Linked DNA regions of Caenorhabditis elegans. The protein of the gene in region 1 purifies or fractionates together with the protein of each later gene. This does not show direct contact. Each region holds a gene or a part of one and is shown on either strand. Other genes may lie near its edges. The genes, in order: lin-13 and snpc-3.4.

Evidence for each region.
Region 2: the proteins of lin-13 (region 1) and snpc-3.4 fractionate together in Caenorhabditis elegans (co-fractionation; one large-scale study listed by BioGRID). This does not show direct contact.

What each region holds. Positions count from the first base shown.
Region 1 is NC_003281.10:7,704,007-7,716,070, reverse strand, and holds the start of lin-13 (Zinc finger protein lin-13), read left to right. Parts: upstream 1-6,579; 5' UTR 6,580-6,598; coding exon 6,599-6,679; intron 6,680-6,722; coding exon 6,723-6,904; intron 6,905-7,585; coding exon 7,586-8,059; intron 8,060-8,103; coding exon 8,104-8,320; intron 8,321-8,367; coding exon 8,368-8,712; intron 8,713-8,765; coding exon 8,766-9,022; intron 9,023-9,059; exon of another isoform or gene 9,060-9,209; intron 9,210-9,277; coding exon 9,278-9,479; intron 9,480-9,526; coding exon 9,527-10,074; intron 10,075-10,123; coding exon 10,124-10,202; intron 10,203-10,254; coding exon 10,255-10,734; intron 10,735-10,836; coding exon 10,837-11,565; intron 11,566-11,611; coding exon 11,612-12,064. Other genes in the region: C03B8.3 (TMEM65 family protein), read right to left, coding at 3,130-3,283, 3,330-3,460, 3,523-3,633, 3,697-3,704. UniProt on the Caenorhabditis elegans protein: Involved in repression of vulval fate, possibly by a tumor suppressor protein Rb-mediated mechanism. May act in a common pathway with retinoblastoma-like protein homolog lin-35 and hpl-2 to influence the ER stress response in the intestine.
Region 2 is NC_003281.10:4,010,982-4,022,383, forward strand, and holds snpc-3.4 (snRNA-activating protein complex subunit 3), read left to right. Parts: upstream 1-9,055; 5' UTR 9,056-9,178; coding exon 9,179-9,281; intron 9,282-9,326; coding exon 9,327-9,465; intron 9,466-9,516; coding exon 9,517-9,621; intron 9,622-9,666; coding exon 9,667-9,778; intron 9,779-9,826; coding exon 9,827-10,012; intron 10,013-10,070; coding exon 10,071-10,228; intron 10,229-10,274; coding exon 10,275-10,541; intron 10,542-10,609; coding exon 10,610-10,796; 3' UTR 10,797-10,902; downstream 10,903-11,402. Other genes in the region: C36E8.4 (SH3 domain-containing protein), read left to right, coding at 1,363-1,506, 1,624-1,790, 1,996-2,512, 2,559-2,678, 3,111-3,251, 3,347-3,472, 3,904-4,038, 4,415-4,567 and 1 more; tbb-2 (Tubulin beta-2 chain), read right to left, coding at 5,085-5,278, 5,334-5,807, 5,885-6,403, 6,476-6,641; tftc-5 (General transcription factor 3C polypeptide 5), read left to right, coding at 11,190-11,285, 11,331-11,402.

The DNA.
Region 1 (12,064 bases):
ATTCTCTTTGCAAAGCATGATCCGAGCCAAGATGGTGTGGGCTTAGCGACGACAAATTCGAACTTTCCAATCAAGAATCAATCCATCAAAATAATGTCGGGTACTCGATTGGTGGGAAGATTTCGTCGTATTTTCTAAATTTTTTAAAATTTACATTACATTGAAATATTTTATTATGAACATACACTGTGATCATCATCGACGTCATTCCAACCAGTTGAAATCGCATTTTATCAATATTGAACATTGGGAGAGCAAGATCCACGAGGACTTCTACTTTCTTTTGAATCTACTTCAAAGCTTCTTCATTTTTTAGTTCCTTTTTACGTTGATTTTCATCAAAATGGAAGGATGAGGTGGTTTAGCGGACGCTTGTGGTCAATGTCGAAGAGGCGACGACTCTGCACGACTCTGAAAACATAAATTGTTATGAATAACTTCATTTTTGAGTTCAACTCTAACCTTTTCTTCCATCTTTAGTTTTTCGCGAAGCAATGTTGTCGCCACCGCCGGTAATTCTCTCATCCAGCTATTTCCGTGCCATCCCAATCGTTCGCGTCAATGTCGAAAATGCTGAAACACCAATAAATATACGGGAAATAATTATTTTTGCCGAAAAATCAAAGAATTGATGAAGAAAACAAAGAAAAAACGAAGAAAAAGAAGAAAAAATCGTGAACAAATAATTTCGAAAATGAGGAGGATTTACGCTAAAGAGGGCGCGCTACCGTTATTTCGGAGTGTCGTTGCCATCTGAGTTTGGAGCTTCTTTTGAAATGCTTTCTCGCTCTTATATTGAATTCGTAGAAAAGAAAAAATCACTTTGAGTCGTAAATGTGATTTGTGATTAAAACCAACAAATAATTGAAAAAAATTGAGTTCAGTAAAATGTAATTAAAAATATTTTCCACTAATTTTAAAATTAATAAGGGTCCCCCCTTATGAAAAAGTTTTGGGAAAATATTTTTCTTCCAAAAAAATTTAATACTGCTGGATTGTGTAGGAAATGTAAATTTTAGAATTTTCCACAGTTTTCATGGATCAATCATACTCCTGGGCAAAAAAAATACAACAGTCGATTTGGCTTGTTCATAGAAAGTCAGTACATCCAAAATGTTCTAGCTCCGCAGGCAGCTGAAATATGAAAAACTTGTCAACTAAAAAGTTGTTAGGAATAACGGGATTGACAAATTACTTATTGTAACTTTTTGCGATCTCGGATGGCTGAGCAGGTAGGAGCACCTAATTATGAATCAAATATTACTATTTTTTGACTTATGATATCTCCGTACTCTGCACAGAAAGCAAGAAACTATGAAACATGAAACATGTTCCATAACAACCTGATCAAGTTTGTAGTTGACAGTTTTTTGATATCTTGCTTGCCCGATGTGGGACATGACTTCGAATGACTGGCATAGTAGGTAGATGAGTTAGAGGAATAGAGGTTTTTACAGTTTCTTAGTTTTCGAAAGCACCACATTTTGCAAGAAAGTACATAGATGCAGTTAGGAAAACATATTTTTACCATATCTGATAAATATTTGACAACTTTTGAAAAAACATTTTTTTTTTGGATTTTCTTGAAAAAAAATCCAAAGGGTCCCCCCTTATGAAAAGTTTTCAAAAAAAAATTTAAAAATTTTTGAAAATTTTAATAATTTCATCAAATGTTATAGAAAAATGTAAAATTAATTGTTTTTTTAGCTTCGATGTTCTGAACACGAGTTCAAACAAAAGCCTGAGGTATTGTAGAACTCCTAAGTTCAAAAAACGCACTCACTTCGGATGCTGATATCTCCGTGTAATAATTTTTTATGACAAAGTGATCAACTACAAAGTTGTTTATCTTAATATAAAGTACAATTTTGCAGTTAATCGTTTTTTATCAAAAAATTTGATGGCCGAGATACAAACAGAAAAAGAAGAAGAAAATACAAGCATGAAGTTGCTGCATTTCACACAACTTTATCTCGACCATGAAATTTTTTGATGAAATATCCTCAACTACAAAATTGTACTTTAGATTAAAATAAACAACTTTGTAGTTGGAGTTCTACAATACCTCAGGTTTTTGTTTGAACTCGTGTTCAGAACATCGAAGCTGAAAAAAACAATTAATTTTACATTTTTCTATAACATCTGATCAAATTATGAAAAGTTTTCAAAAAAAAATTTCGAAAAAATTTTTTAGAAAATTTTCATAAGGGGGGACCTTCGGATTTGGAAGTACTGACTTTCTATGAACACGCCAAATTGACAGTGATATTTTTTTGGTCAGGAGTGTGATTGAGCCATGAAAACTTTGGAAAATACTAAAATAAACATTTCCTACCCAAGCAAAATATTTTTTAACATTCAGTTTTATCCATTCATTATTGGTGTTTCAGTCAAAACTTTGCCTGACAGTAACCTGTCAGTTGGCATTTGCCGGCTCTTAGCCTGCTCCTAACCTGACACTCGCCTGACGCGGTTCATTATTCGGTGCGGTAACCAAAAAACTGTATTTCTGGAAATATTTATTTTCAGACATTTTTTACTTTTCGAAAATTTCCCTAAAACGTAACAGATCGTACTGAAAAATGTTTTTGAGCCAAGAAAACTTTGCCTGACAGTAACCTGCCAGTTACCATTTGCCGGTTCTTAGCCTGCTCTTAACCTGACACTCGCCTGACGCGGTTCATGATCCGGTGCGGTAACCCCGAATCTGTATTTCTGGAAATTATATTTTCAGAAATTTACACGAATGAACATATAACTCATTTTTATGAACTTTCACTCAGTTTCTGAAACTTCCATTTTCACTCGTCTGACCCATCACCTGACACTTACTCGCCGTTCACCTGACGCGCTTTTCTGAAAATTTGAGCGAAAATCACTAAGCTGACACTAACCTGCTCTTAGTCCGACAGCGACTTTTAGCCTGATACTAAGCTGACACTAACCTGCTCTTAGTCCGACAGCGACTTTTAGCCTGATACTAAGCTGACACTAACCTGCTGGCGGCTTTTAACCTGCCATTCAGCTGCCACTAACCTGTCGCGCTTTACCTGTGACGCGTCTGCCTACGGAGCAGAAGATTGCAGGTTCGAATCCTGCCGTGGTCGAAATTTTTTTCTGCGAGCTTACTTGTTGATGCTTTCACCGCCAATGATTAAAAATGCTTCATCGAGACATCCGTAAACGAACATTGGAATGAAATTTATATACCAGACTTTTACTAAATCTTCATGATCAATAGTAACTTCTACCACCTTTTTGTGATCATTATACTGATCGGCGGCTGTAAGATTTTTTTATTTTAAGGTAGCTGCTTAGCAAGAACTCACTGATCTTTCTCAAAGCATCAAATAAAAGTTTCCGTTCTCCCGGTTGGAGCTCCTTGGAAAAAAGCTTTGCATCTGCATCGTTTTGTATTCCATTCGGAAGAACAGAATATTGATTGAAAAATGGGCGGAGCCTAAACTTTCAAATAGGACTTTCAGGAAAGTTACAAGAATTGGGTAAATGATTTAGACTTACTCTTCAGGCCTAACTTTTATCACGTTATTTTTTGCAGCTCTTCTACGTAAGTGACCAACTCCGCGTGAAAAATTGCGAATCTGTTGGTTTGATAACATTTTTGCTATTGATCTGATAAAAGTTAAATTTTTTTAAACTAATTTTTTTAACTCGAGAAATTCTATCGATACTCACCTATCCATACGGTATCTTTGCTAGCCTTGAAACAAGTAGTTGTAAATTGAAAAAAATGAGAAATGAATTATCGTTACGCGTTTTATACTAACTATTTTTACAATTTAACAAAATTGGTTTTTTTCTTTTTTTTCCATCCGAAGTTATCAAAACAAATAAAATCCGTATTTTTCGCGTGAGCGTACATCTTCAGTCGGGTCTCGCCTGGAAAATCATATCCAACTTGCGCGTAAGATAAGGTGTGTTGTACGCACTGCCAATGTGAACCAAGACCAGTTTTGCTGACGCAGTTGTCAGCTGGCGTGTTTTTTTCTCTCTTATTTTCAAATTTTGAACATTTTTTGAGAGCGTCGCGTGCACGTCGCGGTTGAATTAACAATCGCGCTCTAATGAAGACCACCTCCCGATTCGCACCGCATCGTACCAATGGTAGTTTAAAATACAGACTTTGTAGTCCCAAAAATTAATTTTTAAAAAGTATTTTTCCGCATAACTGTACTCATAGTTGAAGCTTCAACAGCTGTAGCAAATGATATCGGTGAAAATAATTTTCGAAATTCATTCTATTTATTTTCGGTAGTGTGTTTTCATAACCCCCGCATGCTTTTTTTCTTAAAATGTTCTAACCTTGCTGTGAAAAAAAAACGCGCGAGGGTTGCGAAATAAGCGTGCGCGAAACCGAATTTTTGGTTCCTCCTTTCCTGTTTCCGTAAATCCTGTGCGTTGCGTGCGCGTTGCGGTTTTCGAATTATGGAAGTGCGCTCTACCGAAATTCGCATTGCTCGACATTTTCCTGTTTCTACAGTTATTTACATTTCCCTTTTCAAATGTTTTCAGTAAATCCAAAAGTTTAGTTTTTTGATTATTGTTCTTCTAATTTTTTCTAAAATTTCAAAATTAAAATTCTTTTAGTAACACTACAAATTAATTTATATTGCAAAGTTCCAGTATTAACTTTTCCTAAGCCCAGTATTAACTTTTCAAATCAATATCGAATCTTAATTCTATCCTAATTTCTCTTCTCAAAGTTATTTATTGACTGATTTTTAAACTTTAATCCTATTTTGGAGTTATTGATTCTGCGTTGCGGTCGCGTCGCGGTCACGCCACCCGTTCCTCACTTTTGTAAATTTTCTGAAGGTATCCCAAACGAGAAATCGTGCACAGCGGCTGCGTCGCGGTTTTTCATTTATTCAGTCTCGTTTCGTGTGTGGCTGGTTATTTACGCGGGCTGCCGCCGCCCACTTTCTCTCTTCCCTGCAGTGGCCTAAAATTGTATTGACCGCCGCGAAGTGTCCGCAATTGTGCGCCGTGGTGAACATTAACACACACGGGACCGGAAAAATGTGTAGTGTGTTTTTGAATATTATTTTGTTTTCTAGAGAAAATAAATATAGTTTAGAGTACAGTAAAATTATCGCTGCAAGACCACACTATAGTTGCAGAGTTCTTGACTGAGCGCTTCTTTAAGTTTTCTTGCTTTTATTTTATTTTTCCTGCTCATTGGGTTCAAATGTGGGCTTGCTCGAATTTCCACTTTAGCTGTTTTCTAATTTCGGAGCTGTATACTGTTCAAATCTATAGAATTTAACAATGTACTTTTTTCAAATGAATAAATCTGAAAAATGTGGCACCTGTAGCGATCACTATGACTGTGATCGTGGCGAGACCCGCTCAGAAAAACAACGTGTGCCTTTAAACTGACGAGTGAAATTTGTTGCGAAATTACGATAATAAAACTGGTTGGTGTGTTTGCACAGTTTTCGAAAGTTCTGCCTAATTTTTGGGGTCTGTACTTACGCGACAGAACATTTTATTATTTTCAGTGTACAGTATCCATTTACAGATACCCTTCTTTATTTTGAATCATCTGACCGTTTTAGACCCCAGTCCTTTTTGAATTTGTTTCCGTGGATTACTGTAGTTGCACAGCTAAATTTTTAAATATTTCAAACTGTCGTCAAATATAGCGCCGTAATGTACGCAAACACTTTGGGCAAAACCCATTCACTTTTCTTTTTTCTCCAATCGATTCGTCCTTGCTAGCCCCGTTGCAGTAGACACTGCAGCAGGGCAAAGAAATAGGTCTCGTTTCTCTGCGCCCTCTCCGCTGCTCATAGTCTTCCTACCATCGTTTGTCCGTCTGACCAATAAATATGAGAGACGCAGAGTGGCATATACGCTCTGCGGTACTTTCTATATGACACAGCCTTCAAATTCTCAATTCCAATGCGCGCCAAAAGATCGGTAAAAATTTTTGTCGCAGTTTCAAAATTTTTGTCGATTCCGTAACACGTTTCCGGATTTTGCTTTTTTAAATGAGAATATTATTTTTTCGGGGGTTTTAAAATATATTGAGTTTGAAGTATGACAGGATGTGCGCTGATTCTGCGTGTAGTCGTGTCGAGATCAGTAATTAGTGGGAAAGGGCTCACGAAAGTTCAGAGTTCGGTTTTTTGAAATCATTAGACCTCCAATGAAATAAACTTATCTAATAAAAAACCTAAACATTTTAAAGAGTTCTTATAAGTGTGTTCAATGGGTCGGACACGCCCACATAACCGCGCCCCGTATAAAATTTGTATCATAGTAGTGAGGTTAGCCAACGAATTGCAGTATATTTCACGCGCAAATTTGAAACAATTAAGTTACTGGTATTCACTATACATCGTAAAAAACCGAACAAACGTTTAAAAATACGCAAGTTAGGCGTAAATTAATTTCGAGAACATATGATAGATTCTTGAATAATTATCTTTGATTCAAACTGGAAGTTCATGTAGATTGATATTTTAGTTTTTTTTTGAGATAAAGCTTATCTCCAGTCATTCTTTTCGTTCAGTTCTCTCATTTTTTTCTGTTGCCTTTTTCAAAAAAAATTTCAGCTCTCCAAATAACAACTATGGATGAGTTTGAGCTGTTTCAACAGCTCAACCAAACAGCCCCACTCGTTAAAACGGAGGAGCCAGAAGTTCCAGATGAGGTGAGAATCAGTAATCAAGTTGTTTAAATTACCCCAGAGAAAGTTTCAGCAAGCGAATAACAATCAAAGCGCTCCACTGCGTACAGGATTATCTGATCTCAGTCATGAGATAGCAGCTGCCAAACAGAGAGAAGAAGAGGAGGCACAACGGCTTGCTGATTTTATGCAAAAGGATATGAAAGAGCCTGCTGTCAAGAGGAAGAGAGGATCAGAAGAATATAAAAAGTAGGTTAAGTTTAAGTTATTCAAGGAAACTTTCAAAAATGCACTTAGAAAGCATTCACAGTCAAACATTTGTTAAAATTGCTAAATTTGTGCGAATTTATTTAAATTTGTGCCACTAGAGCGCACTTTCCTCATTCGCAATTCACATTTTTGAGGCCCCACGAAAAGGGGAGCAGAACGAAAAGGGGATCTGCAAAAAGGGGATCTGCGAAAAGGGGAGATACGAAAAGGGGAGATACGAAAAGGGGAGCAACGAAAAGGGGAGCTGGCACAGTGCCAAACGCACAAAACGCTTTTTTATTCTCATTCAACGCACGACTTTGTTATAACCACACTCCGTTATTACGCATCGCGCGTTGTTTAGCGTAAAATACACAAATAATGCGTGCGTTGAATGAGAATAAAAAAAGCGTTTTGTGCGTTTGGCACAGTGCCAGCTCCCCTTTTCGTATCTCCCCTTTTCGCAGATCCCCTTTTTGCAGATCCCCTTTTCGTTCTGCTCCCCTTTTCGTGGGGCCTCACATTTTTCTTGCATCAGGTAATTTTTTAAATTCAATTTAGACTGAGTTTCACCGAGTTTTCATTTAACTGAACGAAATCTAAATACCTGGTTAAATTTTTATTTTTTCATTACCATAAATCAAAAAGGAATTATATTTACACTTACATTGAATATTTCAGAGATCCTCTTGAATCGAAAGCTCCGTTATCCACATTTGGACACTCTTCCCGACCCCGTAGATCAGTAAACTACGCGAGTATTGAACGAGGTGACGAAGCTCAAGCTCAGTCACTGGTTACCGATTTTGGAAGCCGAGGGAACCGGAAAAAGCCGAAAAGAACACGAGATGAGCTGGACGAAAATTATATGGAAGAAAATGAGGGTAATTCTGGCCGAAAGAAGAAACCTAATGCAAAAGGCGCATCCCGTCAATTTCAAGTTCCGGGTTTACCAACCTATGCTAGTCAATATTCAAGACCTCCAAAACAAGAAGATGTGTTTAAAACGATTGTCCCATTAGCAGAAGATGCGCGAGCAGAAGGTGAACGAGTAATTGGATTCCGACTAGATTCACAACCTGCTGTACGGAGGGCTTCTGGAGGATTTCGACGGTTTTGTGCATGGCTCAGTGATAACCAGATTTTTTCGATAATGTTAGTTTCTAAAGCAACGTTCAGATTCTCAATTTAAAATTCAGGCAAACTGTCGATAAACTTTGTATCGTTGGGGCAAATAATGAAGATCATGACGAAATCCTATTGAAAAGTATTCGTCATGTATACAATGCAATGCCTCCAACGTTTCGTCGTGATTGGGAGTATGCTGCAAGGAAGGATGTGTTCGATTCAAGACTTTTTGTTCAAAATATGCCGATGCCGCTTTCCGAAATCTCGGTCACGGACCCGCGTCATCCGGTAAAATTTACGGTTGTTGATATTTATCTAAATCAAAAGTTTTCCAGCCAAGTCCGATTGCGCGCGGGACAACTGTTCGCCCAAATTGCTGTGAAAATCAGCCATTGTTCTTAAATATGTGTGAAACTATTGAACACTACCTAGGACATCATGACGTGGTTCACCTTTTCGGATGTGATATCTGTTACAGAGTTTATCCGTCTCGATATGAATTAACTAAACACGATTGCAAAGAGTTTGCGGAGTACCTGCGTCAATTAACTTTCAAACAGCAAACTTTACATCTTGAAGCCGCGTACATGTACCTCTGCTGTTCTCAGTGCGGATTGTGGCTGTCGGTAAAACCATCAGGCGAAGGAAAGAAAGGATGGACGTATTTTGCAACTGCATTGGTGAGTCATGAGTGATTATACATTTTTTTCTCTGATTACAATTATTTTTACAGATGAACCATTCTTGTCAACCGTTGGTTCCGGTCGTTGCTTACTTCCCAAAACCGTTGAAAGATGAAGGGAAAGGAATACGAATTCAATTTCAAGTGATGTCTGAACTAAACATTGGACTTCCGCTGAGTTGTTCTGAATGTAACATTGAAGAATTTCATTCTGTTGTTGAAATCGAAGAGCATTTCAAAGAAAAACACGAGGCTAATCATACCTGTATAAAATGCGGAAAAACATTTGGAACCGAGTTTATGTTGAAGTGAGTTTTCATTAGAAAAAAATAGTTCATGAAGTTTCAACCACTATTCAAGTTAATCTTATGAAAATTATTGATAAGATGATTATAGAACTGTGGAATATAAACGCGAAGCGAATTATAAAAGCAGAGTGTTACTTTCCAAAAATGTTTTTTTAATGAAATTTTTGGTCTTAGACACTCAGACAACAAATACAATTTAAAGATATTTATTTTTAATTGCTTCGAAACTTTTTTCTTTATTTCTTCAAATTTTAGACATCACGCGCAATCACATACAACTCAAACCGCACAGTTCGCCAACTATTTACAAATGTCGGCTACTTACCAACCACCACCGAGTTCTGGACGTTTGCCATATGTCGGTTTTGGATCGAGTATTCCTGCGATCGGAGGACTCACTAGCGGAGAAGTACAAGCTCTTGAAGCATCAGAAAACAAAAAAAGTGAATTTGTAGAGGTAGAGTGCAGTGAAGCATTTCAAGTTCTAAAATATTCAAATTTCAGCCAGATGAGTACACTATCCGCAAAAAACTACTTCGGTGGAAGCATGCAAAAACTAAGAAGGAAAATCGTAATATTACTGATAGTAACGAGAAGGAATTTTCATACGAACCGGGAGAGTCCTCTGGTGAAGAAGATTTTCAGAAAAGTCTTCTAGAACAAGATAATCAATCTTCGTCTTCTTCTGATTCTGATTCCGATAGTGATGATTTCACATCAAGCAAACAAAAGAAGAAAAGAAATATCAAGATTCGTGGAGATTTGGGATATGAACATATTAATAGAAATAAGTTTTTCGAGCGGCCCGAATCGGAAAAGGAGGCTAGAAAACGAATTGAAAAAGTATACAAGAAGCACGTTTTATTGTCCAGAGAACGTCTTCTTGATCCTGAAGAAGCGCTGAGAATACTAGAGGAATCTCGCATGGTGCATCTGAATTCAATCCAAAGTACCCTAGCGGACGATATTGCAATGAGTTGCATTCGAACTATATCACTTCCTGCATCGAATTGTATAGACCCATTGAAGGACTTGCTGCTGGTTAACAAAATGTAAGAGAATCTATTCTGCGTTATTATCAATTATCGTTAACATTTTCAGCTTCTACTTCTGTACCAAATGCAACTATATTTTCTCCAAAGATCCAGTAGTACATTGCTTGAGCTGCGAAGTTACAGAGGTATGAATTTTTATTTTTATATAAAGTATGTTATGGATATGAATATTTTCAGGACGATCTTATCGAAGTTTATCATGCTGCATCTGGTCCACACGCAGGTGTTCGGTGCATCGATCCCGAATGCAAAGCTCACCTATGCTCCGTGATATCCTTGAAAACTCATCTCAGTGATGTACATTCCAAGCAAGCAACGCTTGAATTAGTTTCCGGTGAACTCGATAATTTCTCTGAAAATCGATTTGATCGATCGCTTATGTTGATGGCAAAACATTTCACTCAATTACAATTCGACGAAAGAACATATCTTGCTCGATTCACCGATATTGAATGCTTCATGCCATTTTCTGGATTATTGGAGGCGAAAGATCAACCACGTCCCATGCCGATCAGGCAGCAGCCACAACAAATCAAACCTGCGTACAGTTTGGTACGACCAGATATTATTGCACCCAATGAACTTATGCGTCCATATACACTTACACCTGCAATCCGACCAGGACAACGTATCAAACCGTATAAAGTTCCGAGAACTGTAAGTTGATATTCTTCATACTCAAGGCGTTTGAATTCATTAATAGTTGTTTGTATACCAAATTTTCACCAATTCGTATTAAAAAATCTTATAATGTTTCAGTCTCGTTGGTACTCTTGTTCGTGGTGTGATCGGGAATATGAAAGCCTCAACCAGTTCGTCGATCATCTCACACGCTTCCATACCCATCCTTGCCCATCATGTGGAAAAGCATTTTCCAGTCAAAATACACGAAGGACCCATGTGTGCTCCAGACTATTCGCTGAAATAAAAGGACGAGGAGCAACACTCTGCGGGCAATGCCCTTCTTGTCCGGAGATTCATCAAGTTGAACGTATTTTTGTGCACATGCTAAATCGACATTTTTCAACGATTGAATATGTTCTTGCAACTGGAGAACTTCTTCCACCAGCAAGAGATGTAGGAATTCGATATAATCATGGAGAGAATGGAGGATATGGTCGTAGCTATGAATCATTGAGAGCCATCGAGCAATCTGTTGTTGATCCAAGAAGCCCGGATTATCGATTGAAACAAGTTAAAATCAGTGCATTGCCAATTCATGGTGTTGAATTGAATCGACTTCCAGCAAGAGATCCACCTATGGGATCATTTACTGTATGTCCTCCAAAAGATAAGAATATTGATCCTCGATTAATGTGCTACATGTGCGAACTGACGTTCGACTCGTACGATGAGCTCACGCATCACATGGACGATCATCCAGAAAAATGGGCTAACTGCCCGTTCTGTGCTGCGAATACTCCGACACATTTCGATCTTCAGAAACATTTGATTCAAGAACATGTGGTGCAGATATCTGGACAAGCTGTAAGAAATTCATTTTTTGTGTTCGTTTTAAATTAAATATTTTCAGTGCTGCGCATTCTGTCAAGAACATCACCGATTTATGTCATCCCATATTTTATTCCGATGCAAACGTGTATCACGATGCACCATTTGCGGGGTAAAATCCAATGATCCACTTGCAAATCGAGTTCATATTCAACGTTCACATGCTCTCACACTTCGACGCTTCCAATGTGCATACTGTATCAAAGTCTTCGTCAGTGTTGGAGAGTACTACGAACACGAATGTGCAAGCGGCGGTGGGCGAGTCTATTCATGTACTTGCAGTCCTAACAAGTTTTTCAACTCACCCATCGAGTTTTGCGATCATTTTGATTCGGTGCACATTCTTAGAAACAAGTGTCAGCTTTGCTCGTACGATGCACCATCACAAGACGGAATGGTCAAGCATAGAAAAACTCATATGAGATCTGGATGTCCGAAAGAGCAAACAAAGAAGCTTTTCATTCTGATGAAGTGC
Region 2 (11,402 bases), 3.7 Mb from region 1:
TTACCTATATTTTCAAAGTTAAACATTTTTTGATAAACTCAAAAATGACAAATATACAAGCAGGATATTTACTTTAAATAATTTTTAATATCAAATATTATATGTTTGGTTACTTTTATTCGAGTGAACAAACATGTCATATCGCATCCATCACAATTCTACTCCCTACCTGTGACTTTATTGTTTCCAATTTTATCACAAAAAAAAATGCAGAACTAAATGATAAGAATTGAATTTCCGATTTTTTCCAGCTGACTCATTCTAACTGCCCACGACGTGCCCATTTTTTGGTTTTGAAAATATTCATTTATTGATTTTACTTTTAGAAATTTTGACAGTGTATACATATCTCAGTTTCTATTGGTTTTTTCAAATAATTGCTAACTAAAAAATACGTATTAACTATTTTTCTATTTTTTTGTAGTTAAAATTTTTTTGATAAGTTAAAAAGCAATTAAATTATGTGCTGTCAAAGTTGAGAAAGGAATGCAATAAGGAATATACAGTAATTCCGCTATCTAATGTTCAATCCTCATTAATAACAATTTTTCTCTAATTTATTTCCAAATTTACAATCTATTTTTCTATTTTTCAACAATTCATCATCCCTCTCCAATGTGACCTTAATCGATTTAAACTTGCGATAGTGATGACCTCCGATGACCAATTTTCTTCTGTTCAAATTAATTTTTCCTGTCAATGATTTTATCGCTTTCCGTAGGCATGTAATTTTTCATGCCTACCTACTTGCATATTTCCTTTTTTTTTCTTCATTTGAAAGTTCTTATGTACAAATCAGACGCCTTGAAGACAGATTTTGAATTGAACTCATCATATAAATTTTAATGTTCACATTTTTCTGCTTTTTCTGCTTTCCTATAATTTTTTTTGCAAAAAAGCCCTCATTCTTTACTGGTGACTAACAACATCTAGCAGGTGTCCCAGAGTGAAAGGGCCTATGAAAACCTATACGTTGTGTAAAGTAATGCACTAAAATTCGATCTAAGAAAAAGCTTGCTGTTTTCGAGAAGTTCCTGAGAAAAAAGTTGTTTCCGGTTCAATATTTTTGCTCGGAGAGTTTATTGAACCATGCTTTTTGAAAAGGTTTCAGTTTATTTGACACAAAATTCTTCGTAGGTGTTTTCTTTTTTTTTTGTGAAAATTGAAAAATTATAACCAAGAATTATTTTGTCTTTGTTGTACTTTTAAGTAATAGTAAGGTAGGCAAGGATTTATGCCTACACGCCTGCCTACTTGGCTATATTCCTACTCATTTGCCACCTACTTTATACCTACTTGAATTACCTTTTGTCTCAACTAGATTACCTGAAAACGTTTATAATTTTCATTCCAGCCATCAAAATGAACTCCCGAATGTCAAAACTTCGCCGGAGTATATCCCGCAGTGTATTTCAGTTGAACAGCTCATTGAGCCGACAGAATAGTCTTAATGGACTTGTTGACTTGCCAACTATGTCAAATACTACATTAGTAGATAAGTTTGCTGTAAGTTTTTTTCCTCGAAAGATCACATGAATTATTTACCGTGTTTCAATTATTTGTGTATGCAATGCTCTTAGAAAATCAAACAAGCCACCTGCCAACATCAAAATTTCTTTGCAGACACCGAGCAATTTCCGGCAACTACGAGACCTGATTCGCAACAATAACGAGTTACTTGCCGAAGTTGTGACTGCTTTTGAAGAGAAAGCAGCGCTTGATTTTCATTATTCGAAAACATTGAAAAAGATATCAATTCGGTTGCATAAATTGACACAAAGCGTTGAATCGTGAGTAGATGCTAAATTCAAAATTGCATAATTTGTTCAAAATATTTTGGCGAGAAAGTCAAGGATTTGATTTTTTTAATTTGGTAATTCAGAATTTAACAATTTTTCAAAAAAATTGATGGAAACTATAGTGTGTCTTTAAAAAAAGACTATATTTTAAAGGGGCATACATACATTCAAAAATTTGCAAAATATCTTATTTCAGAGGTATCGATAAAGGCTGGACAAATGTGGCAGAACAATTTGATATTCATGCTACTATTCACAGTAACTTAGGATCTGCAATCACTGAAGATATCATACAACCTCTTAGATCAATTCAATCAAATCAGCAAAAAACTATTCGAGCAGCCGACAATTTCGTAGAGCGAGAAATTCGAAAATTGAAGGATAAGAAAGATGAAACTCAAAAAATGAAACGAAGTCTGTACGTGTTGGCGAAAGAGCTTGAAAAGACTGAAAACTCGGCTGAACGAGAAAAAGCTCAACCGGAGAAGTTTGCACTTCGCCGGAAAAAGTACAAAGATCAGATGATTCGAAGTGAAGATGATTATGTATGGCAGACTGTTGATCTGGAAAAGCAGAGAAGAATGACTGAAAATGTGTTACGAAAAGGTGTAGAGAGTATGGAATCAGTGGAGAGACAGAGATTAGCTCATTGTCAAACTGCATTGGGACGGTATAAGAGAAAGATTGAGACGTTGGGACCGAATTTGAGACAAGTTAGGGAAAGTGAAATTTTGAAATTAGTCAATATTTTATTTTCAGATGTTTGAAAGGCATTCGAATAATCTTGAACTTGCGGTAGATTCTGTTCCGGAGGATTATATTCAAACTATTCAACCATCAACTTCAGCTGTCAATCATATTACCCTGATTGATCTTCATGTAAGTCTTTTCTACGGGAATTACTTTCCTAGAGCACGGAGCAACCGTGGTAGAAGAAAAAATCGGCGGCCGAAAAGGTGTGCGCCTTTAAATAGTACTGTAGTTTTTTCTCACGATTTGTTGAAACTTTATGTGTTTTTATTGTTATATTTAAGTTTATCAAAGATCTATCTAAACAGAAAATCTAAATCTATCTAATAATATACAACTCCACAGAAACTCAAGTATTCTTTGAAGACACACACTTTTTCTCTATTAACAAAAATTTCTCCAGTAGCCGTATTTTGGCGGAAAAATCGCAACATTTTGCGTCTGGATAATAACCTTCTAACTGAAAAACTCTAACATTTTTGAATTTGCCATTTTTCCAAAACATTTTTTTCGAAATTGCAATTGTTCAAAAATAAATTTATATTACTTTTTCGTTTTCAGGCTGAAAATTTCGGAGAAGTCATGTCTTCGACACGACGCCGTCAGAATCTTGAACGAGTTTCAGGAGTATTGGATTCAGAATTGAAGAGACTTTACAACAATCAGACAGCTGACGTTATGGTGTCTAATTCAAAGCAAATTGTGGGTTTTTGGAAAGAATGCATGCCTACTTTATGCCTATTTTCATTTTTTTAATTGAAAACAATAGGAAAAACCAGAATATCTAATAATTCCAGAGCGTTTTGGAATTCATCGAATATCTGTACTACAAGTTGAATGATTCAATAAATATTGTGGATGGAGGTCAAAATCGAGGTTTTCACAGATTATCCAGGTTTCAACATAAGATTAAAGATAAATCGGTAAGCTTTTTACAATTTTTAAAAACTCAAATAAAATTATGAGATTTTCGAAAAAAAATTAGAAAATAAAACAATTTATCAATTCTAGTCTTTAGACACGACATTTTGTGATTTTTCAACAAAAAACGGTACTCGGTCTCGTAACGACAAATTTGTGTTTAATACAAGAATGAGTGCGTCTTTAAAGAGTACTGTAGCTTCAAGCTTTTATTTCTTCCAAAAACTATGAAAAATCGATGAAAATGCGGCAACAAGAAAAGTTTAATTACAGTACACTTCAATGGTTCACAGCTTTTTGTATTGAACATAAATGTGTCGTTTCGAGACCGGGTACCATATTATTGGCGCCAAACAAAATTTTCAATTTTTTTCGTACCGAAACCCATTCCGCACCAGGCGAAGAATAACATATTAATAAAACATTTTTACAGGGTCTTCCAATGACAATTCTCACAATTCCATTATCCGGTGATAATAACAGTCTTCCACCACCTTGTCTATCAATGGAAGCATCAACTGCTTATCCGTCACCACGTGGCAGTGGAGAGTACGAAGAATATGAAAAGGTATATTTAGTTTTTATTACGAATTTTAAAATTATTTTCACTTCGAATATTACCAAAAACTTACGATTTTAAGCCAAAAATACAATCTTCTATACAATCTTAAAATACAATCTTGAAACGAAAACAGTTGTTAAATTCGAAGAGGCGTGCGCCTTTAAAAATTACTGTTAATTATAAATTCTGTTTCTTTTCATAGTTTTTCAATAAATCTCAATCAAAAATCGATAAAAAATTCCACACCAATAAGTTTTAAATTACAGTACTATTTAAAGGCGCACGCCTCTTCGAATTAAACACCCTTTTTCGTATCGAGACCGCGTACCGTATTTCTGCCGCGAAAAACCCATGTAAGTAGTAATCATTTTTCAATCTTCAGATATCCGACGACGGTTTCTACTCAACAACAACAACATCATCAAATGGTGGTCCTATTCGAACAACTACAACTTTCGATGAGCCCACTTCAAGTCCACCGACAATTTGTAGAGTTCTTTATGATTTTGAGCCGAAGCATGCTGACGAGATTGAGGTGGCTCTATTTAATTGAGATCTATATTATAAATCTGAATTATTTTAAGATTAGAGAAGGTCAATGTGTTCTTGTCGAGGATCGAATAGGAGATGATTGGCTCATTGGGCACGTTATAAGCCAACATGACAATTCTTCAATTGATCCACGATCTGGAAGATTTCCAACCACATATGTTTCTCTTAGGCAATGAGACTTTTTTCTTGGCGGCACAATAAAGTTTCCTCTTTTTGTTGGGTCACTCAACGAACACAATACAAATATTTGAGCGCTCGCATTTTTCTCAACCTTTCGGGTTTAAAGCACTTCAAAATGGAATTGAAGAGAGATTGTGAAAGTACATCAGACAGAATCACATTTTGATAGCATTCACTTCACTCAGATGCAAACTTTTCAGTGACTATAAAAAGTCATAAAATAATAACATTAAAAAAGCAAATAAATTAGCGAGAGAATTTTTTGACAAAAAGAAAGAAGAGTGATAGAGAAGAAGGGAATGCTTGAAAGGATCTTGCATTTATTGCTCCGATTCGTAAGTCTCTCCAGCTTCTCCCTCAGCGTATCCGTCGACGTCGTCTTCGGCAGTTGCTTCTTGGTATTGTTGGTATTCTGAGATGAGATCGTTCATGTTGCTCTCGGCTTCGGTGAACTCCATCTCGTCCATTCCTTCTCCAGTGTACCAATGGAGGAAAGCCTTGCGGCGGAACATAGCTGAAAAAATAACGTTTTTAAAACTGATACTGGATGATAGTTTCAAATTTCTTACCAGTGAACTGCTCTGAGATACGCTTGAAAAGCTCTTGGATAGCGGTCGAGTTTCCAACGAAGGTGGCAGCCATCTTGAGTCCTCTTGGTGGGATGTCACAAACGGCGGTCTTGACGTTGTTCGGGATCCATTCGACGAAGTAGGACGAGTTCTTGTTCTGAACGTTGAGCATTTGCTCGTCAACCTCTCTCATCGACATGCGTCCACGGAACATAGCGGCCACGGTCAGGTAACGTCCGTGTCTTGGGTCACAGGCAGCCATCATGTTCTTGGCATCGAACATTTGTTGGGTGAGCTCGGCGACGGTAAGGGCACGGTAAGCCTGGGTTCCCTTGGCGGAAAGTGGTGCGAATCCTGGCATGAAGAAGTGAAGACGTGGGAATGGAACCATGTTGACGGCAAGCTTGCGGAGATCGGCATTGAGCTGTCCTGGGAATCGGAGACAGGTGGTAACTCCGGACATGGTGAGGGATACTGAAAATTGTAATTATTAGGTTTCAATTTGGGTAACTTGTGCATAACTTAAACTTGAACAAGAAATAATAACTTACCAAGATGGTTCAAATCACCGTAGGTTGGGTTGGTGAGTTTGAGGGTACGGTAGCAGATGTCGTAGAGGGCCTCGTTGTCAATGCAGTAGGTCTCATCGGTGTTCTCAACAAGCTGGTGGACGGAGAGGGTGGCATTGTATGGTTCTACAACTGTGTCGGACACCTTTGGCGATGGTACAACCGAGAATGAGCTCATGATTCTGTCTGGGTACTCTTCGCGGATTTTGGAGATGAGAAGTGTTCCCATTCCAGATCCGGTTCCTCCTCCGAGAGAGTGAGTGAGTTGGAATCCTTGAAGACAATCGCATCCTTCGGCTTCCTTGCGGATCACGTCAAGCACATTGTCGACAAGCTCAGCTCCTTCTGTGTAGTGACCCTTGGCCCAGTTGTTTCCGGCTCCGCTTTGTCCGAACACAAAGTTGTCAGGACGGAACAGCTGGCCGAATGGTCCAGAGCGGACAGAATCCATGGTTCCTGGTTCGAGATCGACCAACACGGCGCGTGGCACATACTTTCCGTCTGAAAAAATTTAATTAATTAATCATTCCAACTAAACGATTTCGAAATCTCCAGAAAATTTTAAAAACTCACTGTTGGCTTCGTTGTAGTAGACGTCAATGCGCTCAAGCTGGAGATCCGTCTCTCCCTTGAAGGTTCCGTCTGGCTGGATTCCGTGCTCGTCGGAGATGACCTCCCAGAATTTGGATCCGATTTGGTTTCCGCATTGTCCGGCTTGCACGTGGACGATCTCTCTCATTTTTGCTGAAAAGGTCGTAATGAATTGAAAAACTATATTTAGATAGAGAAGATGAAGGAAAATAACAAAAGAAAGAGAACACGTCATGGTCGATATTGAAAAGCAATGATTCACGGCAAAAATTTAAAATTAAAGGAGTAAGTTTTTTTAATACATTGAAATTTGAGAGATGTTTAATTGGTGATTTGATTCTAGTTTATTGTGCTCTGAAATTAAATGATTCACGGCGAAAATAAGAAATTAAAAGACGAATTAGGAATAAGGTTGAATAAGGTTACCTTGAAAAATATAAGAGATGTTTAATTGGTGATTCTTTTCTATTCTATATAGGTTGATTCTAGTTTATTGCACTCCGAAATTAACTACTTTCGATAAAAATTTCAGCGCAAGTACCTTTCTATTTGCTCTAAAATGAGCCCACTTTTCATAATCGCTACCCCAAAAAGGAAACAAAAGGACGTTGTAGGAGCAGACATGCAGCTCTTGGGATGTATGGAATGGAGACGAAGAAGAGGCGGGTCGGGCGCAGTTGTGTCCGACGCTGTGTGCATTCGGATCGATAATCGCGAGAACACGGGGCGCGCGGCGCCCGCTCGCATTAAAAACCGCAGTGGCCACTGGGGCAGCAGTCGTTGTTGGACTGCAAAGGGTGGTGAAATCGAATAGACTATTGCGAAATATGCAGATATGGGTAGAATGGGTGAAGAGGAAGAGAGCAGAGGCAAATCTATTGCGAAACATACACAAAATGTCCATCAATTCCCTCTCTTTTTGCTTAATCCATTTGTTTTGCGTGTCACCACTAGGTTTGGCAGAAGGAGATAGAGCACACGACACAGATGGCTTTTCATCGGGTGCAATTTGGTGCTATTGGTTTGGGGTAGAGAGGGAGATGCCGCTTGGCGCGCAGTAATCCTATGGGAACCGAATGAAATGTGCTGGGGGCCTGCAGCTTTGAAAAGCCTTCAGAATAAAAGAGATGAAGACGAACCGTGAAGAAAAACGAGGGACAAAAACTAGTTCAATGCGATGGAAATCGTACCCCTGTTGACGGCTGCGGTGGTGGTGAATTGAGAATTGCGGAGAAAAGAGAAACGGAGATGACGTGGCAGTGACAATCGGCTTGGGGTCGCCTATACAATACGATACATATGCAGCCAATACTTCGTCACACATGCAGCCAGTCAGAGAAAGGTCAATTACCGTAGTACACGCGCCAGGAGACAATGTTAATGGGTACTATCTAGATCAGTTGCTGGTTGGATAACGATTTTAAAATACAATCCAAATCAACGGGAAGCTTCAAAAAAAAATTCCAAGAAATAACTGACGAAAAAAGTCGAGTTAAGGGTCGTGTGTCGGCGCTGGGGACGAAAAAGAGCTCTACTCTTACCCCCACTTTCCGTTGTCGATGAGACACATTATACCAAGCGAGAAACATAGAGACTGGCGCCGCCCGTGCTTCCCTCCCTTCTCCCGTCGTTTTTCTCTCCGCGCCCTCTATGTTTCGGATGGACAGGGACGCGAATGCTTTGTGACGGCCTTGACCAACGGGCGACAGCGGTGTCCCTTACCAACCCGCCACAGGCGAGGCATTTCAAAAAATGTGCCCATCCATCTAGCAATTTGAAAAGACGACGCGCCTGGCTTACGAAGTTAAGGAACTAGCCAACTGAAAAAGTGGAACTCAAAATATTAATCAGTTGCAAAGAGAAATTCTATTTCTGTGATTCATTCGGCGCCGAAAAGTAGAAACAACAGAAGAATTTGAGCTGATAACACGCAATCTAGGGAAATGATAAGAACAGAAACAAACAGCAAACAGTTTTTTGGGGAAATTATAATGGAACAGATACTAAAATGACCCGAATAACCAGAAACCATGACAAGCTGTGCAAATATGTTACACGAGAAGTACTTGTACATGTCGAAAATGATGAATGGTATCCGCCTATTGCGCCCGGTTGAGCTGATCGCAGCAAGGACATAATAATTATATATCAGATAAACACGGTGGCTGACCTTCAAGAAAGATTATGGCGGCCTATTTTATGCAATTTTATGCATCAATCACGAATAAAACTACAAAATTACAATTTCCCCAGTCTCCTAAACCGCTGAGAAGGGAATAGTTTATGAATGAGTCACCTTTCACAGGAAATGGAACAGAAAAAGGAAGCTAAAATGAGGGGCAGAACGTTTTAGGACAGACCATTTGCAAATTTAAAGCGCGAAACGATGCAGAAGTAGCTTGAAAGCGTTTTAGGCAAAAAATTGCAAAAAAAAGTAGCGAATGAAGATGAGAATGACAAAAAGAGGGAATGTTCGAGGCCTAAAATTCAAAATTTGCCGCCCAACAAAATTTCCCGCGCACACAAATGTGCATTATTGCGCGTCGGTGTACAATAAACTGTGCAAACACCGTTGTACACCGTACCCCTCCAGAAAATTGTTTTTTTTTTTGAAAAAGCAATTTTTCGAATTCTTTTATCCAACTTTCTCCTCCGTATAACTGTTTGAATTCAATTTTTAAATAAATGGACAGAAAGTTCAATTCTGATGAACAATGGTATATTTCTCCACTGCTCAATTTAGCCACAGTGAAGGAAGAGATGCTGGAAGTTCGAGAGTTGGGAGAAGGTTAGTTTATTATCTTAAAACAATCGAATATTGTCGAATTTTCAGTTATTATCGATAGAACAATGGACGATTTCGATTCAAAAACCGAAAAAGAACATGAAATGGAAATGTGGAAGAACAGTCTGTCTTATATTCAAGGAGTAACAGAAGAAGAATCATTGGAAGCTATTGAAGAAGTTTCAAAGTAAAGTAAATTTCAAAAAATCGAAAAACAACTAATTTTATTGATTTTCAGCCTCGATATGTTTCTGGAGGGGTCATCAGACGTTCAAACTCGACGATTTGAAGATATGAAGGGGGATCGCAAGTTCCTCGAACGATCACCGCTAGTTTCCCACAAGTAAATATTATTTAAACCTTTTATTCAAAAACTATAATTTTTCAGACATGTGATAAGTCGAGAAAAGACTATGAAAACTTCAAGGCAGCGGAAGTCCGCATATGTCACGTCACTGAAATATGACAAATACATGTTGAACGCCGGAGCAAATACTTCTGTAAATTAATTAATAAAAATAAAAATCTTTATAAAATAATTTTTCCAGCTTTTCCATCCTCAATGTTCAATATTAGAGAAATGTGAAGATGACATTGTCCTTATCGTTGATGCACTGATGCCATACAATCGAGAACTTTTATCTTCTGAACTTCGGAGCTCGCGACTTTTGAAGCCAATGACCAAGTTTCTTGTTCGTGGAGACACCCTTCTTTCGGATTTACGGCAGAAATTTGTATGATTTTTTGAATTTAAAACACACATTAAATATTTAATTTTTTTTAAACTTTCAGGTATGTCAAAGTGATACAATTGTTCCATTGGAGAATGGTTTGGAGCTGGATCCACCGAATTTGGATAATGCAACCGCAGTTCGATTTCCATCATCATTTATATTTGTTCATGATACCTTTTATGTGGATATGCCACCCAATGCAATTGACATTTCACAGTAATTAGTAATTTTCTTTAGAAAAATGTTTAAAAACATTTTTCAGCCCAATCCGCAACTTTATGCTTCACCGCGAGATTTATGATCCAGTGGAGGCTTGTAGTATGGAAGGAGTCAGAATTATTGACCTGAAGCTGCGTCTAGGGCAGCCGTACATATTCCAGCATTCTGGGAATTGTGAACATCTACTCGTTTTTCATGATTTGCGACTTCTTCATGAATCGGACCCGTGGGGAATCGATAAATATCCATTCACCTTATACGAGAAGGGAAATGAAAAGAAATGTGATATTTGTAAAAAAGGGCATGTGGAGTAAGTTTAATTCGCAAAAATTATTGTTTTTCCTCAAAGTAAATTAATTTAAAATTTTACATTTCCAGATTCGTCGTCGAACGCCACGAGCTTCTTCCCAACACCTACACACACTTCTGCAGGACATGCTTCCAGGAGTTCAACTATGTGCATGGTGTCAAGACGCATTCATTCATTGCTTGGCCGTATACAGAACTACAGACTGGAGAGCAAAGAGGATGGCCGTTTGGAGATTTTGAACAAGAAGATGATTGAAATAATTTTGATATTTATTTCTATTTATTTTGCAAAAACTTTATGTTTTTACTGGTATTTTTTATAGAAAAAAGGAAATGCTGGACATTTAAAAATTTTATTGTTCTTTTTTAATTGGATTTCATCTGATTGGTTTTGTAAACCATTTTTATATATTTAAATTTGAGTTTTTAAAACTATTGAATTCACTCGACAGGCGTATACGTATTGTGCGTCGAAACACGCTTTTACTCGTATAATTAAATTAAGAAGCGTGTTTTGACGCACAATACGCAACTCGGAACTTATGCGGCAATTCGAAATTAATTCAACCGTTTAAATTTATTTCGAATATTTGCAATCTTTATCAAATATTTAGACCACCTTAAAGAATAACAACTTATTTCAGGAAAAATGAACGATTTTCTCAATTTCACACAACAAAAACGCGAGGAGCCGCAGCAGCTGGTCCTAATCAAATATCCAGGAATTGTCAAAAATGTTGATAAGGTTGGAATACATACGGTATTCAGCAAATAAATTGTCTCTTTTCAGGCACTTCAAACGATGGGCGGTCTCCAACTAATCAGTCAATCTCACTTCAATAATCATTCACTGGAATTAAGT